Linked DNA regions of Drosophila melanogaster. The protein of the gene in region 1 interacts with the protein of each later gene in a biochemical or structural test. Each region holds a gene or a part of one and is shown on either strand. Other genes may lie near its edges. The genes, in order: neb and Pp1-87B.

What was found.
Region 2: the proteins of neb (region 1) and Pp1-87B form a complex in vitro, tested with the Drosophila melanogaster proteins (one study listed by BioGRID).

The regions. Positions count from the first base shown.
Region 1 is NT_033779.5:20,071,743-20,082,129, reverse strand, and holds the start of neb (nebbish), read right to left. Parts: upstream 6,374-10,387; 5' UTR 6,274-6,373; coding exon 4,834-6,273; intron 2,861-4,833; exon of another isoform or gene 2,813-2,860; coding exon of another isoform or gene 2,658-2,812; intron 2,125-2,657; coding exon of another isoform or gene 2,070-2,124; exon of another isoform or gene 1,934-2,069; intron 525-1,933; exon of another isoform or gene 1-524. Other genes in the region: pr (purple), read left to right, coding at 7,105-7,172, 7,280-7,359, 7,794-7,939, 8,002-8,214; CG10730 (uncharacterized protein), read left to right, coding at 9,942-10,306; bwa (brain washing), read right to left, coding at 8,676-8,752, 9,484-9,776.
Region 2 is NT_033777.3:12,417,388-12,427,455, forward strand, and holds Pp1-87B (protein phosphatase 1 at 87B), read right to left. Parts: upstream 8,531-10,068; 5' UTR 8,302-8,530; coding exon 7,393-8,301; 3' UTR 7,224-7,392; intron 7,130-7,223; 3' UTR 6,234-7,129; downstream 1-6,233. Other genes in the region: pps (protein partner of snf), read left to right, coding at 1-5, 61-588, 654-2,594, 2,653-2,788, 2,843-3,039, 3,113-3,275, 3,339-3,520; Scgbeta (sarcoglycan beta), read right to left, coding at 3,898-4,956; CG17202 (uncharacterized protein), read left to right, coding at 5,472-5,483, 5,546-6,079; NANS (N-acetylneuraminic acid synthase), read left to right, coding at 9,225-9,560, 9,667-10,068. UniProt on the Drosophila melanogaster protein: Is essential for the regulation of mitotic chromosomal segregation as well as regulation of chromatin condensation during interphase.

The DNA.
Region 1 (10,387 bases):
AAGAAATAATGAAAACTATAACGATCAATCAAGGTTTTGCAACTGTTATTTTCTCGATATATGCGTAGTACATACTTTGGACCCCGATTTTTATTGTATCCTTGTCTATATTAGACATTCCCCTATATTTATTGTAATACCAACTGAGCGTTGCACAGTCCGAGCAAGTGTCAAAATGAAATCAAATCGAAATATGTATGTAAAAGTTGAAATTGTTCAAAAGTTTATGCCTGGTTACATTTTGTTAACTCAACTTGTCGTTACAGAACAGAAATTGTTATTAATTTTTGGTGTTCAGACTCAGCTGTGCAAAAAGACGGACGGAAATATTATAAAAACGATTTAACAATTGCATTAGTCATTTAAGTAATTGATCAAAATGTAATGATTTGTGTAAAATTTGCTTGCAGGTTCCAAGAAAATTTTCAATTTATACAATGTTATATATCATATATATTATATATTAATGGTTAGTTTAAATTATATGTAAACCGAATAAAACGACAAATGATTGAAAAATTTAAGTTAAAATGCGTACTTGTATCTTGAGGGTTACTTGAGGAAATTACGATTAAAAGAAAGGAGATATCATTCATAGTTGCTACGATTTCTAAAAGTTAGACACCTGTTCCAATTACATACGTTGAGGTGGGTCAGTTTGGACTTAAATTTTCCAAATAAAAGTCTTAATTTCTTATGCAAATCTTTACGGAAATCTTTCCGTCTCGCACCAGTTTACTAATTGAAGTTAATCTGTCTTTTGTCTGTCTGAACTCAAAATGTTCCGCCGCTTGAAAACGTTAAATATGATAAGTAAGTACTTGATGGCTAAGGTCAGGTTTTAGGCACTAAACTGGGAACTAAGCGAAAGCACCTCGAGCCCCAATAAACCGACCTGGAACTTGACCATGCACTATCCCACCTTGCAAGCGAATGTCCAGGGATGCCAGCTCCCAAGTGATCCAAATGAAACCCCAGTCAACTAAGCCGAATTGAATTAGAGCAACGAACGTTTGGCACGGGTAGATGAGATCATCCGTGCCTTAATCATGAAAGGCGAATCAAAAAAATTCAACTGATCAAACTGAGAACTGAGCGCATCCCCCCACACGAAAACCATTCATTCCATTTGCATATTTTTTCATGAGTGTGCAAAAGGGTATATGTGCAATGGGGCGACGGGGAAAGCGATGTTCGAGAGAAACAACTCGCGGGGAGGAAGCCATATACATATTCAGTTGTTTGTGCATCGAATTCGACTCATTTTATATTCCAATGCTAACCACTTGGTTGGGGCTAAATATATTATTAAACAGTGTGGCTTAAATTACAATTGTTGTTATGCGGGAAACTGGAACGGAGAGCACACGTTCGAAGCATTTTGTTATGCCAACGTGGGTCAGAGATACAAACTTTTGAATTTATAACTACTATACTATACTATACTATTTATAACTACTACTATTTACATTATTGAATGGCTCAGTTAGTCGAAATCTTGTGAATAATTAATCTGGTTACTACTCGTATGTCAAATTTTTTCAGTTCACATAATTAGCATTCATTTGTGAACTGAAAACGTGGCTTATTTGAAAATTCATAACGGCGACAGACAACTCGCCTGTTGCTAATTACGAAAATAATTAACTGACGTATCCTCAGTGGCACGCTTTTCGTATTAGACACGTATTAGAAACAGCAGATCAATCGAATTTGAAATCGTGTGAACCTACGTCATTTGCATTCAATTCGATGTTTCTGGATTTCATTCAAAATCCCACATTCCCTGGCTATCTAAACGGTGTTTGTGGCTTTCCAAATCCAACTCGGAAAATGCTGATTGTGAACTCAGTGCGGTTTCTAGGGCTTTGCACACGAGCAAGTTAATTTGGAATTTATTTAGAAAGCTGGCTTGGGACTCCGCATTTCCAGTTCCAAAGTTCCCCCAGTCATGTGAAGGTCGCAACGAGTTCTCAAAACTAATAAAAATTGAGAAAAAACTATAGTTTAATGAATAAAAAAGGACTTATTTCTTGGAGAACAGAATATATCCCTTTGCATTTCAAAAAATGCTGAACCGCTTGTTACAAAAACTGAAAAGTTCCAGAGGAGTCAAGTCGCAAGGTGAACTTAATAGCTAGGCCATGGTATTTAAAGTGAAATACTTACATCAAAATATGTCAACTATTCTAATTACCTATCAAAAATTGAATTATTCTTTTACAAAACCTAGCCGTAGTGCAAAACCATTTTCATATAAGTGGACTGTTATTAAGCCAGTTAAATAACAGTATTAACAGTATTCTTTTTTTGTTTCGAATAATGAGCTTTTTGGATAATGAACTTAAATATGACTTTAAATTGACGAGTCTGTGCTAATAAACAAAACGGACTGCAAATGTCAAATCACAACTAATGTTAAAAATTAAAGTTATAAAACACCAACCAATTTTGATTATAAAGCATCTCCCATTACTTACATTGTACCCAAATCCTGGTTAACTTTAGATTTTACTTGGCCTAAACATATTTGCTAATTGTAACATACTCTGCCATCAATTACCTTTATTGGCTTGTATACACTTCGTAAACGTTTAGTTACCATCCTAACTATCTGTATATAAATTATTCATTTTGTGTACAAATTGTTATTGCAGCTCTTAAGGATGGAAAAAAGCTGAGCAAGGGCAATTGCAAATGCGAGCCTTCAGCGTGTAAATGTGGAAAACGTCAACAACGACAGCAACAATTGAAATTGTTGGTGTCGCAACTTAGGAGACGCGATAACGTATCAAGTGTTATAATGTTTTAGTGCCGAAGTACCGCACAAAAATACCAAATAAAGCATTATCTGCAAAGTATTTTTAAATCTATGGGGTGGCAAGTGAAGATGTAGATGGAACTTTTGTGTCGTATGCAAAGATAGGAAAAGTACTTCACGGATAGATAGGAACCATGGAAGCCCAAAAATATCAGAGGCAAAAAACAAGGTCGGCTGATATATAAAAAAAAAACACAACAAAACCCCCCTCCTTTTAAAGGGGTGAAAACAACTAGTAACAATCAACATACAAACCCTAAATCTAAACCATCTAAATCTTTCAATGATTTTAAAGATGGATTGGGCAACCACAATCTGGTGCGTTTCGTCACTACGCTGGCTGCGAGAGTCCCCTACGGACCTACGACGCCATTCCAAGAAATATTTGTCTTCACCTTTTATGGCAAAGGCCGCGTACGGAAATAAATCATGTGAGCCATTTTATGGGCCGTACTACCGTAACGAAAAGCAAAGTGGACACTGGACACTAAATAACACTCAGTGGAACGGGTTTCGGGAAAAAAGACAAGTGTTTGGACTTTCGATCAAGAGCCTCTCACTTGTGGGCGCCATGTAATTACTCATTGAATGCAGTCGAATGATTATAAATTACGTCGCAAATGTCGAGTGCGCCTTTTTTTAGAAGCCAGATACTTGTATTATATAAAACCCTCACTTTCGGATTAACTAGCCTGGTAATATTCCAACAATCAAGTTATTACGAACGTGTGGCGTTCGCTTAAGAGCAGTTGTTAACTTAAAATGCACACATAAGTATGTTACATTGATTGCTAAAGAAAACGCAGTCGTTACTCAATTCAAACAATCGTGAAACAAGTAGCTAATATGTTAACTAATGCACAACATTCAAGTCTCATGACAAGTTTATAACAATTTTCCTGCTAATGCTATGTAAGCATTTGCTGAGGTTTTATAACAAAATAATTATATTACCCGGGTGAAGACACTGCTATCTTTTTATTCGCGTTCTTAAAATAAATTTCTAGAAAGTTTACACGTGCGCCTTTGTATCAGGTCATAAATTTTATGGTCACATAGGAAAAGCAACAACAATAGATTAAATAGATATGATAAGAGGCCAAAATTTTAATCACTCAATTGATTGAGGTGCGGGAGGTCTTTGATTTGGTAGACCTTAATAAAAGGCTTTCCTATCGAAAATGATAAGGAAATAATAATAATAAAAAATACACTAAGTCTGCTGGCAATCTTAGCAAACAAAATAAACAAACGAATGATAACAAGGTTCGAGTTTAGAACTCGAGATCTCTCATATTTAGTCCTATAAAGCGCAGATAAACTCAATCTAATCTCTGGCTGATGTTGTCGTCTTCTTTTCCTTGTTTTTTTCGGACAATTTGACGCTTTATTTTAATTAAAGTAATTAGCACCCCAGTTAATTGATAGAGCCAACATAAATCTGTCTAGCAGCTGCTCCTCGCAGTGCAGACATCATTAAAACAGAATTCGCGTGTCGCGCGAGTCGAGATGATATCTCTGTAGACAGTGGGCTTCATAGCTCATCACGAGATCTGTTGAAAAGACGAATATCTGCCAGCCAGTTAAGTAAACATTTGACCGTACGAACATTTTGTGGGTACTTTCCGCAGGGGTCAACGTGTCATTTGCATGTTGCAGTGCAGTTCTACGTACTGATTGCTTTCCGGGTAATTACTGATTGCAAGGGGACCCCATTCCGTGGGCCACTGCCTAATCGAAGCGAAAGTGTTGATAAGCAATCCTATCGGTGGTGGCAAAAGTGCGGAAAGCATTGCGAATATACATATGCATTTATATTGAAGACATGAGGTTATAAGGTTTTACTGAGCTGAACTTATTCGAAACACATACTTAGCAATCACTTCTGGGTACAATTATTGATTTCAAAAACCAAGGGGATAAGAAAGAGTTATCATTAGCCGAAAGTAGACCAACCTACTGACCCGGTTGATAAGTACAAACGCAGCTAAGAACTATTTCGTAACACTTACCCGCAACAGCCAGGTGAGCACGCTCTCGCGATAGGGAACGAAGGTGCTGGGCGTCCCAGAGCCCAGGGGTCCATTGGCGATCGCCTTGCGGGAATCGGCGAGAGCAGCAATTACTTTCCCCAGCGTCAGCAGGCTCTTGTTGATGCTGACGCCCTCGCGGATCCGCTCGCCGTTCGATCCGGAGACGCTAATGCGTTCGCTGCCCGCCAGGTCCACCAGGCTAATCTTGCTGCGCCGCGTCTGCCGCAGGGAGGAGGCCGTGCTCGAGTCCGTATCCGAGGACAGGCCATCGTCACTGCTCAGATCGGTGAGGTTTAGGACAATGTTGAAGATGGAGTGTGAGCGCGAGCTCTTGTCGTTCATGGCCGTGGAGGCAGTGGCCCGCTGGGAGTTGCCCACGGCAAGCCAGTTGCGGAGTGCCGAGTACGAGTCCACCGAGTGGGCACTCAAGTCCACTACGTAGGGCCCGAAGATGGGATGCTCCCTGACCTTTAGAGCCGGACGCTGCTGCTGTTGTTGCTGCTGGATGGGCGTGGATTCCCCGGTGGCAGCTGCCGCATGCTGGACACTCAGCAGATCGTGTATCTTCTCGTTGTAGATCTCAAAGTAGCTGACCTCCACCTCCACCTGCAGCTGCTGCTGACTTTTCACAGCCTCTATGCGGCGGAATAGCTCGTGGCAGAAGCGTGGAATGATGCCCGCCTCATCGTGCGGCGGTCCGCCATCCAGAGCGGCGTCATCCAATGCTTCAATGCCCATCATGCTGTACGATTTGCCCGAGCCCGTCTGGCCGTAGGCAAACAAGCAGGCATTGTAGCCCTCGAAGGCAGTGTCGATCAAGGGACGCGCTGTGCCCTCAAAGACTTTGGCCTGGCAGGCGAAGTTCTTTCGTTCGGGATCGCACGAGTAGTAGACCTGGTCGTAGCTGAAGAAGTGCGTCACGCCGGCGGAGGCATCAGCACTGCTGCCCGCTTGGACAGTCAGCTCGTTGCTGTTTCCGTGCACCTGGACCACATTGGTGACCTGACCACGTGTGCATTCCAGGGCATTCAGTGGCCGCACTCGCACCGCCACAATCATGTTGCTCTCCTCGGACACGCTGAGGCAGGACTCCATCAGAGAGTCCCGCTCCTTTGTCCTGCTGCAGCTGGATTTCCCGGTGCCGGGCGTCTTTGCTCTTCCAGGAGTAGAGTTCGCATTCCTGTACAGCGACGAGGGTGTGTAGCAGGCATTCAGGGCCGTGGGCTTGGGCTTCGGCTGTGGCGTGCTCCCGCTGAATGCAGTGTTCAGCAGCTGTTCGGGACGATCCCGGTGCTCCCGATCCTCCGCCCGCGTCATCAGCACCTTCTTGCGCATCTCGGATGCCGGCGTGGATTTGTGGACTCCTCGCGTCTGGAACTGCTGGATGCGCTGCCGCACCGGAGTGCTCTTGTTGCTCATGTCTAGATTATTATTTAGGTATCTCTGCTCGTTTTTTAAATAACGCCGAAGAGTTTCGAATTATTGCGCGGCGTCGTTTGTTATTTTTTTTCTAGTGAAGGGCGGCGATCGATAGCAAAGCAGGGTTGATTACAGTGAGCGGCGTGAGGTCCGGCAACGCCACCACGAGCCAGGGATGAACAGCACTTACATACTCTGTTAGCTAACTCTGTTAATCAGCTCATTTAAATTATGAGATAATTGACAAAGAACTAACATGAAATAAATAAATATATAGCGAAATTGTAATAGTGTAAGGATTTCTACCCATACAATAGTCTATTTGTGCAGTTGTAAATCACTGAGAACAGTTGTGGCGGCAAACTGCTCAGCTCTGGCCGATAACCGATACGCGCTGCCTTGTTATCGGGAGCAGCTGTTGACGAGCAACGTAGACAAAAGTAAATATTATTGAAAATCCATAGCAATTAAAGGTGAGTTCCTTGCTGAATTGAGTTTGTTACCATGGCTATAGCATACCACACCCTGTCTTTGCAGCACGCATAGGCACTTGCAACAGAAAACGAGGGAACATCAATCGCTAATCAGCTGCAATTAGCCGCACTCGAAAAGTTCAGAGAAACTAGTTCCGAGCGTGTTGATATCGCAGTCGCCGCATTTGTGGCTTATATTTCCTTGTTCCCTCGATCCAAGTACCATATAAATAAGCGCGGCTCAAAAGCAGGTTTTGCATTCATTGTAAAACATTGCCAAAGCGCGCAGCTGATCAGCCGCATATATAAATCCACATCCAGATACAGATCCAGATATATAGTATAAATCGGACTTGAAATGTCGCAGCAACCTGTTGCCTTTTTAACCCGTCGCGAAACTTTCAGCGCCTGCCATCGTCTCCATAGGTAATTAGATTGAATCAAATTGAATCATTCAATTGCCTGATTCAATCACGGCTGGCAAACCAATTCAGTTCGATTTAAATTGATTGCTGCATCTATTTTCTCTTCAGTCCCCAATTGAGCGACGCCGAGAATCTGGAAGTCTTCGGCAAGTGCAACAATTTCCACGGCCACGGACACAACTATACAGGTAAAAAAAAAAATACCCCTTAAATACACTTAGTCGCATGATTACCTGCAAAGTGCCACACTTATTATCACATAACCCCGGCTCAATCAGGCTTAACCCCCTACTAAACTGGTAATTTGAGCCCAAAGTGGTGCCTAACCATAGCAAAACCTTGGCCGACAAGCTCGCTTATCAAAACCATATTCAAGTTCAACGCTCAAAGGCAATCAATATGTTGACTGGCGACCGAGAATTGATAATGAATAATGGTTCTGAACGAGCATAAAGTGTCGCAAGTGCTCAACTGATTAGAAATTTGGATTATATTTAGATTGTCAATAGCTAAACCTTAAGAACTCAAGCTTGACTCGATGCCGATTATACCAAATTATACCAAAAAATGTGTGAATAGACTACGAAAGATGTTCTTTTATAATCCTTTGTGATCTTTTCAGTTGAGATAACCGTCCGTGGTCCCATCGATCGGCGAACCGGAATGGTGCTAAACATCACCGAGCTGAAAGAGGCTATAGAAACTGTGATTATGAAGCGCCTGGACCACAAGAATCTCGATAAGGATGTCGAATACTTTGCCAATACAGTAAATAACCAGCAAGCACAACACAACTTACCGTACTTATCCTTTATATCTATCCCCCCCAGCCAAGCACCACAGAAAACTTGGCCGTTTACATCTGGGACAACATCCGTCTGCAGCTGAAGAAGCCGGAGCTGCTGTACGAGGTGAAGATCCATGAGACCCCAAAGAACATTATCAGCTACCGCGGCCCGTATCCGCTCAATGGCATCTACAACCCCATCAACAAACGCATCGCTCACGATTCGTGCACCAACATCTCGTCGGATTCGGATTGAACATTCGAAGATTGTGACATCGCCTAACGAATTTTTTGATTGGACCAATGATCAGCGAAGACTCAGCCAACCTCTTAAGCACGCGCGTAGAAAAGGACACTTACCATGTAAGGGAATGAAAAGTTATACGAATTACACAGTATGTAGGAGTAAAATATGTTAATGCAACATAATATTGAATAAAACAAAGGCAACTGAAATACTATTCTTTATTGCGATTAAACAAGAGAGCTTGCATTCCTAACACAGTATATTTGTCGACATTCGTTTAGCCTAAGTAAATCATACATACTTCCTAAACTATCGCTCCATATGGCATCTATACATAATTTGGTTTCCGCGATGAGCAGGCGAGCTTTGTAGTTAATAAATAATTTAGTTGTTCCACCTTCTGCAACTCTAACTTATATCACGCTGTGTATGTCTCTGTTTGGAGAAGGCTCTCCACCCGATTTCTTGCCTTAGTTCTTTCGGTGCTTGTAGTCATAGTCATAGTCCTGCATGTACAGACTGCAGTAGACGAGCCAATCTTTCGAATCTGTGGAATCAGCAAGGTAGCGGGTTGAATGATTTGGATTGCATAATACTTTGAGCAACGATCTCTACTTTGTTTAGTGTTTTAGTTGTGGTTACTGCTACATGCTAGTAGATTTCCAATCCAGAATAAGTGTAGGTGTTAGTTGGTTAGTTTGCGTAAATTAGACAATTAACAAATTCAGGTACTGACAACCTAATACGATTTTTTGTCTCTTTGGGAAAGCGTAGGAACCATTTGTTCTGGAAGTCATGGGATGAATTAGTTCATAACATATCACAGTCTGATGGTAACTCATACTCATAGAACGGGTTAGAAGACTTTGATTAAACTCATTTTAGGGGATAGACGGAACAATAAACATCATTTAGATATGTCTTTCTACAATAGTTCCACGGAGCAATCGCCCATTCATTTATGGACTAAGCAGGGCGCTACTATTATTGTTTTAGGCCCAAGTGTTCAGGTGCACCGAATCTTAAGGCGTTAACAGACTTATCTCTTTTGGGTACAACCGCGAATCCGATTCGTTTGCTTAATATAAATACATCTATGGCTAATAAACTGTTTCAACTATATAAAAAGTGTGCGCTACAATTACGTTGCCGCAATTTTACAATAATTGTGTATGGTTTTAAAGCATGTACGATATTATCGCTTGGTCTTTGGTCACTTCTCTGCCAGCTCTCCATTCCGGCGCAATCGTCCTTAGATGGTGTTGCGCAGAGCCTTACCTGGATTCCGGATCGAAATGAAGGGTATCCCGAACTCGAACTCGTTCTTTGGCCAGTACTTCAGCAGCGGCTGTCGCTGGGGCAGCTCCGATTCCACGTAGAAGTAGGCGAAAAGCACCAGCACCGTGTAGGCGGCTATAAAAATGAATATGTGCCAGAAGCCGTGCAGGTATGGAAAATTGATCGAGGACCAGGCCTCGCAGAAGATCCGGTCATTGATCCAGCAGAACACCGCAACAGCCCAGACGGTCGTCGATCGGATGCCCAGGCGGTAGACCCTCTGGTCACTAACTCTGTATGAACAAAGATATATATGGGTATTAATAAGTTGTTATATTTCGAAATAATTCGAAAAGAAACGCTCATGCTTTTCGTGTTAAATTAGCCAAGCGTTGTGAATGCAATTATTAAACGAGACTTTCGGTCCGCCAATGAAAATGCTGCAGTCAAAGGTGATCATGACGCTGTCGCGTAAGGACTTTCAAGCCCTTTTAATCGTAATATGCTTTGGTTTTTGGATCGAGAACCTTGTTCAGGGCGCAGATGATTACTATGTATATAGTCCGGTGTGCCAGATGCCCGCCGTGAATCCCTTCACGTGGGACACAATGAGTAATTTCCACAGAAAGACGCTAAGGCATTGCCACAACGACAGCGACATGGTAACGAGTGAATTCGACTTCGAGACACATCAGTACCGACTGCATGTGCACGAGCACCTGGCCAAGCCCATTATGAACAGGAAGGGCAATGCCACCCTGGAGTGCGAGTACCAGGAGATTTCACGGGATAACTCCGACCAGAAGCCCGACAATGCCTATAAGTAAGTATGAGCATACCATGCAGATATGAATGTATAAATATTATTCCGATAATGGTTGAAGGAGATTAGAGAAGCTTTCTG
Region 2 (10,068 bases), on another chromosome or scaffold:
AGAGGGTAAAGTCATACAATAGACATAAAGTTACCTTTTATTGATTCGTTATCTTTGTAGAGCCAACCACGAATAACAGACATGTTGGTCACCAGACCAACCACTCAACCTGAGCAGAGGCCGAGTGAAACCAAAGTACTAACTACGACAGCAGAAATTGTTCAGGTCGCGGCTCCTTCGGCTCCCAGAAGAACACTACCGGTGGTCTTAACTGTAGCCAGTTCCCCCATGCGTATTCCAATGGCAAAGCCGGCCAAAAAGTTCCCAACCGGTGCAATCTCTCACCAGCAGCAGCAGCAGCTGAACTTTATCAGACTGGGCCCATCACCTGGCAAACGAATTTCGGAGACGTTATGTGTGGTCTGCAAGCGACCGGCGAGCACCTCTTCCGTCTATTGTGGCGAAGAGTGCATCCGGAAGTATGCCCAAAGTGCAATTCAAGCACATGCTGCTACCAAAGGCCCATTGCCACAGAATGCCGGTGCTCAGTCTTTGCTGAACAACTCCTTCGATGCCAAAAAGAACAAGAAGAAGGACTTGTTTGAGGACGTGCTGAGGCAAGCGGACACTGTGTCAAAAGTGGAACGGGTATGCAATAAAGGTTAATTTAATTAGAACTATACAACAAATAATGTGCACACTTTGCTTTGCAGATTAATGTGTTTGAGCGTAAAAGTGGTCGGGTTATCACCGGGCACATGGCCCCTTCTGCACATCAGTTTCGGAAATGGCTTCAGGAGAATCCCTCCTTCGAGGTGCTGCCCTCAGGAACCGTTCAGTCAGCCGACGCAGAGAAGCGTTTGCTGAAAGGGGCACCGGAAGCCGCCACCTCAACTTCAGAACCCGCCGTGCTAGGAGTTGCAAAAAAGCCACCTGAAGGTCCTGCCAAATTGTCCCATCCCCAAAACACCACAGTTCAGGCAAGCCACCAACTTGGAATCTCTTCCGTGCGTCCTTTGGCCAAAAAGGATAAAGAGAAGACAACACCTACAGTACAGGCGCCAACCCCTAATCGTATCGCAGCGGGCAAACCCGAGCCGGTTCGAATCGGCATCCGGCGATCACTCAGGGAGCAACTACTAGCGCGAATCAAAGAAGCTCAGGCTGCCGAGGAGAACTCTGGCCAGCCAACGACTCAGTGGCCGACCGTACTTGAGGTGGATCAGTTTGTCAAGAACGTGGAGCTGGAAATGTTCAACTCGTTTGGCCGAGACGTGGGAGCCAAGTACAAGGCCAAGTATCGATCGCTTATGTTCAACATAAAGGATCGCAAGAACCGAACGCTTTTCGAAAAGATTTGTGCCAAGCAAGTGGAGCCCAGGCAGTTGGTGCGGATGACGCCGGAACAGCTGGCCAGCCAAGAGTTGGCCAAGTGGCGGGAGGAGGAAAACCGTCACCAGTTGGATATGATCAAGAAATCGGAGCTGGACTTGTTGGCATGTGCCCAAAACTATGTGGTGAAAACACACAAGGGAGAGGAGGTAATCGCCACCAAAGTGGATGTTACGCTGCCCGAAGAGAACGTTAGTGAAGCATCATCTATGGCGGACACAAAACAGACGTCGCTGGTCAGTGAGCCGTCTACCTCCACACTGGAACGTTCCACGTCCAGGGAAAAGGCGGGTTCATCGAAGGAAAAGCGACACAAGAGCCACAAGCATCATCATCGAAAGCGCAGTCGAAGTCGTTCCAATAGTCGGGGTCGAAGCGTCGATAAGCGCCATCGCAGGCAGCACAACGAAGGAGGAGAGCAGCCAGGCAGCGGGGAGCGTGAGCATAGATCGCGTGAGAAACAGAGCCGGGAAAGGGATGAGATCGTTCCATCACCCTTGCCCAAGAAGAGGGACGAAAACGACCAATCGCCGGTACCCAAAAAGACGGCGGAAAAGAAAACCGAGGCGAGTGCTTACAACTTGGTTGATCAAATTCTGGAATCGGAGAAAACAGTCGAGCAGGCGGCGAATCTAGGCAAACCAAAGCCGTCACCCAAGCCACTTCCAACGCTTCCGAGTTCTTTGAAGGCACCTGAGCCAATGGACAACTACTCCCGCTACTTGCACGGCCTGACGACGAGTTCACTGTGGTCCGGTACTCTCAAGATGATCGATTTGGCCGACTTCGAAATCGTCATGTACCCCGTGCAGGGTAACTGCCATCAATTGGGTAACCTGATGCCAAGTCAGATGGACGTAATCGGTCGCATAACCCGCGTTAATGTCTGGGAATATATCAAGAAGCTAAAGAAGAGTCCCACAAAGGAAGTGGTCATTGTGAACATATTCCCCGCCTCGCCCAGCGAAACGTATAAGTTTGATCTCTTCTTCGAATACCTGGACTCGCGTCAGCGTCTGGGCGTCCTGGGCGTGGACTCGGATCAGATACGCGACTTTTACATATTCCCCTTGGGTAGCGGCGATAAGTTGCCACCAGCGCTGCAGACCGCGGAGCCAGTTCCCTTCTACGAAGAAGCGCAAAGACCCAACACGCTGCTCGGCATCATTGTGCGGTGTCTCAGCAAGCGACCTGCAGACGCTGTGCCATCGACTCCGTCTGTGCCTACTCCGGTTCCCGCCCTCAGTAGCAAAGTGGCAAAGGTAAGGAAATAGCAAATTATTCCATATTGAAAGTATGTACTATTATTCCCCTTTGCAGAGATCTCGCAGCTCGATCTCGTACCCGGCGCAGAGCAGTCCCAAACGCAAGATCAGCACACACTCCACCAGCTCCAAGGACGATGAGTTCGATATCGATGCCATTATCAAGGCGCCCATTGCTAAGCTGCAGAAAAGTAAGTTTAACATCTATACGTAAGAGGATGATGTTAATGGTTTTGTACCTTCAGCTGCCCCGAAGGTGGTGCCACAGCCATCGGTGCCGAACGACGCCGATGAACCCTACTCGCCTGGTGGCTCCGACGACGAACTGGTGCCAAGTGCTCCGCAAAGGCCGAACGATCTGGAACGGCAGGTGAACGAAATCAACAAACAAATAGCTGCGCAACAAATGGAAATTGCCGGCCTGCTTAAAGTGGAGCCCACAGTAAGTGCTGACCTCAGGCGACGCAAAATGTTTCCAATCCATTGCATTCATATCCCTGCTCGTTTTTTCCCAGGGATCCGCGTCCTCATCCAATGTGCTAGCCGCCATATCAATACCCGCAAATCTTTCAAAGATCCTGGCCAGCATCAAGGACAAGACTAATCTGCCTTCCAGTGCTGATGATGGAGACGAGGAATACAATCCCGAGGACGACATCACCGCAACCAGTTCATTTGGTACGTCAGCTGTGCTTACTCAAATATCAATTGGCATTAGTATCAACGATTCCTTTCCTGTAGCATCGAAGAAGCCGAGGAGCAAAGGCCGTTTGGCGCATCTAAGTGAAGCTGAGCTTCTTAGCATGGTGCCGGACAATCTGGCAGGCGTGATTCCCAGATCGTCTAGGACCCGCCACCAGCTTGCTCAGTCGCCGCTCACACCAACACCACTACCACCACCGCCGCCGCCGCCGGGTGTTTAGGTTACCCCCATCCGGACGGACGCTGGCTAACCCGCGCGCCAATCCGTTTTTCATTCTTGATTTGAATTGCCGCCCGCCCGCCCGCCTCATTGTGTACATTGTCATTAAGCAAATTCAACGCCATCTCTGTATTATATCTGGCCAATCGGAATTTTTTAGTTTTCAAAGCTAAAGCCACAACCCCATCATCCCGCCACAACCCAACCCGCCCCGAGCTCCAAATGGATCATCCTTCGCATTGCAATGCAAATTTAGATTCGGTTTTTACATTACGCTCTAACAAATCGTGTACATTTCCTCCGAAAATAAAAAGTGCTACGTAACATTTGTTTTAGGGATACGATAATCGTAACGCTGCACTTTATTTCCAAACGCACTTAGTTGATCTCGCAGGGATCGTCCTTGCCGCTGAAGTGGGCGCATGTGATCTTGGGTCCGTTGTGTACCCTGGGTATGGCGATCCGGAAGAGCGTTCCATGCGGCATGCACACGCAAATCTTGTACTGCACACTGCCCGTGCGGAGACCCAGCTCGGAGCTGACGATGGGAATGCGGTCCATGTCCAGAAAGATACCCGTGCCTGCCTCCAGGATGGTGGCGCCCTGCGTGGAGTTGATGAGAATGTGGTGCTCGGCCTGCATGTCAACGCTGGCTCCGTCGAAGTAGACGCCCTCGGATCCCCTGATGGCCATGCGTCCGTCGCTCTCCAGCACCAGGGACTCGTCGATGGGACTGACGATGCCGCTGGCACTAACCACTTTGGCCTGCAGCGCCTCCACTCCGCCCGGAATGTTATACTGCGGACGATGGGTGGTGAAAATCGGCTGCTTGTCGACGGGGTCCTTGACCTCGAACAAGTTCGTGGCCTGCACGAGGATACCCTCCCTGTTCAGGACGATCCTATCGCGTTCGCTGGCTGCTCCATTGCCATTGCGGAAGACGCGCACATGGACGCCGCCCTCGCCGTCACCAGCATCACTGCTGATGGTCACCGGGACATCCGAGAAGCCGTGTATCTGGCCAATCGAGTTCGTCTGCACGCGCTCCAAGTCCGTGGTACCGTAGAACTTCACCAAATCCACCTCGGGTATCACCTCCATGCCCTGGACACCTTTGCCCAGGCGAAGCACACCCACAATGGTGAGCGTCAGCAGAAGATTGCCAACGGTCAGCACCAGCAGCAACACCACAATGGTCCAGAAGGCGAACGTGTTGCGTCCCTGGTGACCCGGATGCAGGCGGGAGCAGCTGTCGCTGTTGTACTTCTCATCGAAGTAATCGCCCGTATCCGTTTTCGAGTCGTCGCGACAAAAGTCCAAGTCCGGCACAACTCCTCCAATGGGCAGCGTCACAGAGAGCGCGTTCTCCGAGTTGGCGTCGTCGGAATATGACGGCGATGGTCCACGGATGAAGGTGTTCTCGAATGTGTGCATCATTGGATTGAATTGAATTCCTGGCGAGTTGAACTCAAAAAACCGTTTGCACAATTGCTGTATTCAGTGCAAGGAAATTGGGCATGTACATGTGAGAGATTCAATTGTTGGACATGCGCAGTGCGTTCTCAGCCGCAAGTTTCGAAAAATCCGATATATTCGAATTTTGAATACTTTCGAAATATGAAAAAGTGGTTTCCAAATTATCTTTACAACGAGAAAGTCAATTTTCAAAAGTTAATATAACATTTTCAACTGCTAGAACTCAGTTACCAATATATATTTTTTAATGGAGAGCAGAACAAAAAAAAAACAATCAATTAAATGTAAAACACTGGTTTTCATAATCCATTTAAACTTTCAAAAATTGAATTTTAAAAGTGTAACCATAAAAAGTCAATTGGAACCGAACCAGTTCCGTATGATTGCAGCACGCAGCCCTGGCTTCAAGGGGGCTTGACTTTGGCATTTTTCGAAGTTGCGCCCACAGCCACACCGCACATCTCCATTTTGCAAAGATGTCCTTTAAGGTGAGCTTTTGTCCAAAAACTGATTGCCATTGGCTAAACAAGAGTCTCCCGCAATGACACAGCCCATTGACCCGAAGCGCGACGAGATCCGGCGCTATCTAGAGCGCGGCAGCGTCCTGGACTCGCTGACCAAGCTCTTCATACGCGTGATCAAGGAGCGGCCCGAGAATCCCATGGACTACATCCGTAACCACATCGGCGTGGTGCGCCACCAGCACGACAAGTACGAGCGCCTGCAGCAGGATCTGCAGCTGGCCAACGAGGAGATCCAGCGTCTGCGCGCCATCATCAACGGCATCAATCCCGACGTGCTCCAGGGTCATCAGCCAGTGGCTTCAAGTGAAGTAGTGGTCGCAACGGAGGCGCCACAGACCGTGGCCGAGTCCACTGAGGCGGCGGAGCAGCAGCAGCAGCAGCAGCAGCAGGAGAACGGCGAGACTGAGCTGGAGAAACCTAACGAAAGTTCGGCGGACGTTGCGGAGATAACTGCCGCTGTGGAGGCCTGCCAGATTGAGGGGAACTCGGTGGTGACCACCGATGAAGCCGCACAGCCAAGCCCAACCGTCCAAGCTGAAGCCAGTGGCTCCAGTGAGTAGATCTCAGATGACAGCAGCACGTGCCAGCACACACCAAACGTAAAAACAAAAACATCCCATTTAGAACGCATTCATTTAGAAGAAATGTTAAGTATTTTCCGGAATTTACATGTAAATAAAGCGAAATAAAGCATGAGCGCATGCAGCGTATTATGGATTTTTCAAATGTGTTTATTGAAATCAGTTTCATAATTCATACACGTTTTATATCATTTGTTTATTAATACAAAGGATTATTGATAATACATATTAATAATAGTTAATTTTTAAAAAACACATCCTTAAAATGACGGGAAGCGGACGTTTGAATAGCTGATGAATGGTAAGGAGTTTTAGGGACAAACTAATATATTTCGCTGATTTTCTTGCAGATATTTCTCTGGCTGGCTGGCTGGCTGGTCCATTCGGTCGGACTGCATTGTGGACGAACAAAAAAAAAACTGATTCAAGGTCGAAACTTAGTGCTTATAATTCCTCTTTATACTTCTTGGCAAGCATTCGCCTCCACCTCCTCGGTTCAACGATTTCCCCTCTTCGATTTTTTGTTTCTTGTTTTGTTTTCACTTGCTCTATACTCTTAAGGCCAACGAGCACTACAGGGCCCCCACATCTGTATGCTTTGTGACCGACTGGCGTCCAGTCGCTCCTCTGCTGCTCCGTTTCCATCTAATCTGCATGGTTATGCGCTTGGTGCTCTGCTCGAACGGTCAGTTGATTAACCTAGTGTTTAAATTTTGGACAAAACCTATAAAAGCGCTGGTGTTCAAATGTGTGTACATGTGTGTGCGTGGGTGAATGGTTGGTCGGTCGGTAGATATACATATATATATATATATACGGGGGCTATTACAAATAAATATGTGGCTTTTAATCATGGTATTTGTCAATGTGTTTGTAATTGCGATTTAAATCTCAATGGGTGTGGGGTGGAAGGGGAAAACTGCAGTCATCTGCTGGAAGGGATGTCTCTGGGGATGTCCTTTGATCGTGGCGCTGCTATTCCATACCAAATTAATGGTGCAATTTCTTGTGGATTTCGACTCGCCCCGGCTGCCGATGATAAAAGTGACCAAAAACAGAGATAAGGTTGGGGTGAGAGTGTGATTCACTAGTTTGTTACTCTGCGTCAGCAGCCCATACTTACGTTTCATGCATCATTTGATGTGTTGTTTCAAAGGATTTTATTTCTGGTTGATTGTGTGGTTGGGTTTGTGGTTGTTTTTGTCGTGTTTATCTTTTGTATCTTGTTTGGATTTCTTATTGATCTGTTTTAGATAGAAAAAGACTGCTCGTGGTGCTGCAGTTGTGTGATATTACTTTTTACGCTTGTCGGCTGGCTTGAGGATTTGGAACGAGCACATCAGCGTATCGTCCACGGACATCATGGCGCCGGCATTGTCGAACTCGCCGCAGTAGTTGGGCGCCGAGAACAGGGTGACCAGCATGCGTTTGGCAAAGAACTCGTACCCATCCTCGACGACTTGATGGGCTCGGCAGATGAGATCGAACTCGTGCTTCTGCAAAAACTTGGCCACCACCTCGGCACCGAAGGTGAAGCTAACGCCGCGGTCGTTTTCGCCCCAGCCCATGGTATCCTTATCGGGATCGGACCACAGGAGATCGCACAGCAGTCCCTGGTCGGGCACATCGGTTGGCCGCATAATGCGACGGATCTGCTCCATGGAGGTCAAATCGGGACTGAGACCACCGTGGCAGCAGAAGATCTTCTCGTCGACAATGGCCGCCACTGGCAGGCAGTTGAAGCAGTCCGTGAATGTCTTCCACAACTTGATGCTGTAGCGACGCTTGCATTCGTCGTAGAATCCGTATATGCGATTAATGCTGGCGCATTCGTGGTTGCCGCGCAGCAGGAAGAAATTCTCCGAGTATTTGATCTTGTAGGCGAGCAGCAGGCAGATCGTCTCCAGCGATTGCTTGCCGCGATCGACGTAGTCGCCGAGGAACAGGTAATTCGATTCCGGCGGAAAGCCGCCGTACTCGAACAGACGCAACAGATCGTAGTACTGTCCATGGATGTCGCCGCAGATCTTCAACGGTGCCTCTAGCTCGAGCAGAATGGGCTGCGACAGGAAGATCTCGCGCGACTTCAAGCAAAGTCCCCGGATCTCGCCCTCCGAGAGCTGTACGTTTTTACCTGGCCGTGCCCCACGCACCTCGAGAAGTCGCGATATTATGCTGTCGATATTCATCACGTCGCCCATGTTTGCGTGCGAAAGTGTGGATCTGGTGCACTAGTGCTGCTGTTGGGTGTCGAGGTTACCGCGAACGATCGTTGGTAGCGCCGAAATAGCCTCGAAATCTTTAATTTCCGAAATCTATTTCTGCTAAATACTTTTCACAGCTAACAAGTATGAAAATTTCTTCGTATGCTGTTGCGTGAGTGCGGGCGGGATGGCGAGTGTGCTTCTAGCTGATGTTGCCACACTGCCGGAAGTCGCGGATATGGCCAGATAATAGACGCCATCTTATCTAATCGATAACATGCAAATATAGTGCATAATCGATAACGAAGTTGCTGTAATATTACTCTTATTACATTAAGGACATTTCCAATCCATTGCAAGAGTTCCGCAATAGCTCTACTTTTATATTTTCATTCGAAACGGGTCTTCTCGACCCTATAGTGGCTCGAAACTGCTGTTAGTAATCGATTAAACGCATGGCGTCCAGTTACTCTATTTCAGCGGTGTGGCAGCCTGATCAGGGGGACACTAGCCATCCCGCTTGCACTCAGGCACGCCTGGCATGACTTACTGTGGAAAAGAGATGGGAGACTGATGCATTTGGCGAGGCTATTCGATATACCGGTAACAAGGGGATATTTAAATACATTGGAAATTCAAATAAGCCAATAAGAATATTCGTTTACAGAACATAGGTTAATTCATTTTCCTTATTGGAATAACTTCCACATGAGTTATGATTTAAAATGCCAAATTTCCCTTAAATTCTCACAAAACTAAATAATATATTGATAGATATATTAACAATCACACTATGTAAAAATTTTGTATGAAATGTGCTCATGTCTTGTTATCGATAATTCGATACTCTATGCATTTCCTGCCTACGCCCGCTAATCATTTAATTAACTGTTAAATAGGCGGGTTTCAATTTAATCAAAATGCTGTTAAACGATATCATAAGCGGAAAATTAGTTGATTCCGTCTATATTATAGCGGAAATTGGCCAAAATCACCAAGGTTGTGTGGAAACAGCGAAGAAAATGATATGGGAGGCCAAAAAAGCCGGTTGCCACTGCGTCAAGTTTCAAAAATCGGATTTGCCAGCAAAGTTTACGAGATCCGCTCTAGATCGCGAATATATCAGTGATCACGCCTGGGGAAAAACGTACGGGGAGCACAAGGAGTACCTGGAGTTCTCCAAAGATCAGTATCTCCAGCTGCAGGCCCACTGCAAGGAGTTAAATGTGGACTTTACGGCTTCCGCCATGGATGAGGTTGATATTAATTAATTGTTAACCAATTACTACTACTAACAATTCCTTTTTTCCCTTGTTTCTTGCTTAAATAGTTATTAATGTGTGTATATGCTATTTTAAACAGAGATCGTTGGAGTTCCTTTCTGCTCTAAATGTTCCCTTCATCAAAATTGGTTCCGGAGACGCAAACAACTTTCCGCTTCTCAAAAAGGCCGCCAATTTGAACTTGCCCCTGGTGATCTCCACCGGAATGCAGACTATGCAAACTGTGGAGAGGATTGTGCAAACTATGCGGGAGTCAGGAAAAGAGGACTACGCTCTAATGCACTGCGTTTCATCGTACCCAACTGACCCAAAAGATTGCAGCTTGCAGTTGATATCCGTCTTAAGGACACGCTTTCCCAATGTGGCAATTGGGTACTCGGGTCATGAGCTGGGAGTGATCATTAGCCAGGCCGCCGTCTTGCTGGGAGCACGCATAGTGGAGCGCCACTTTACGCTGGACAAGAGTCAGAAGGGCTCCGAT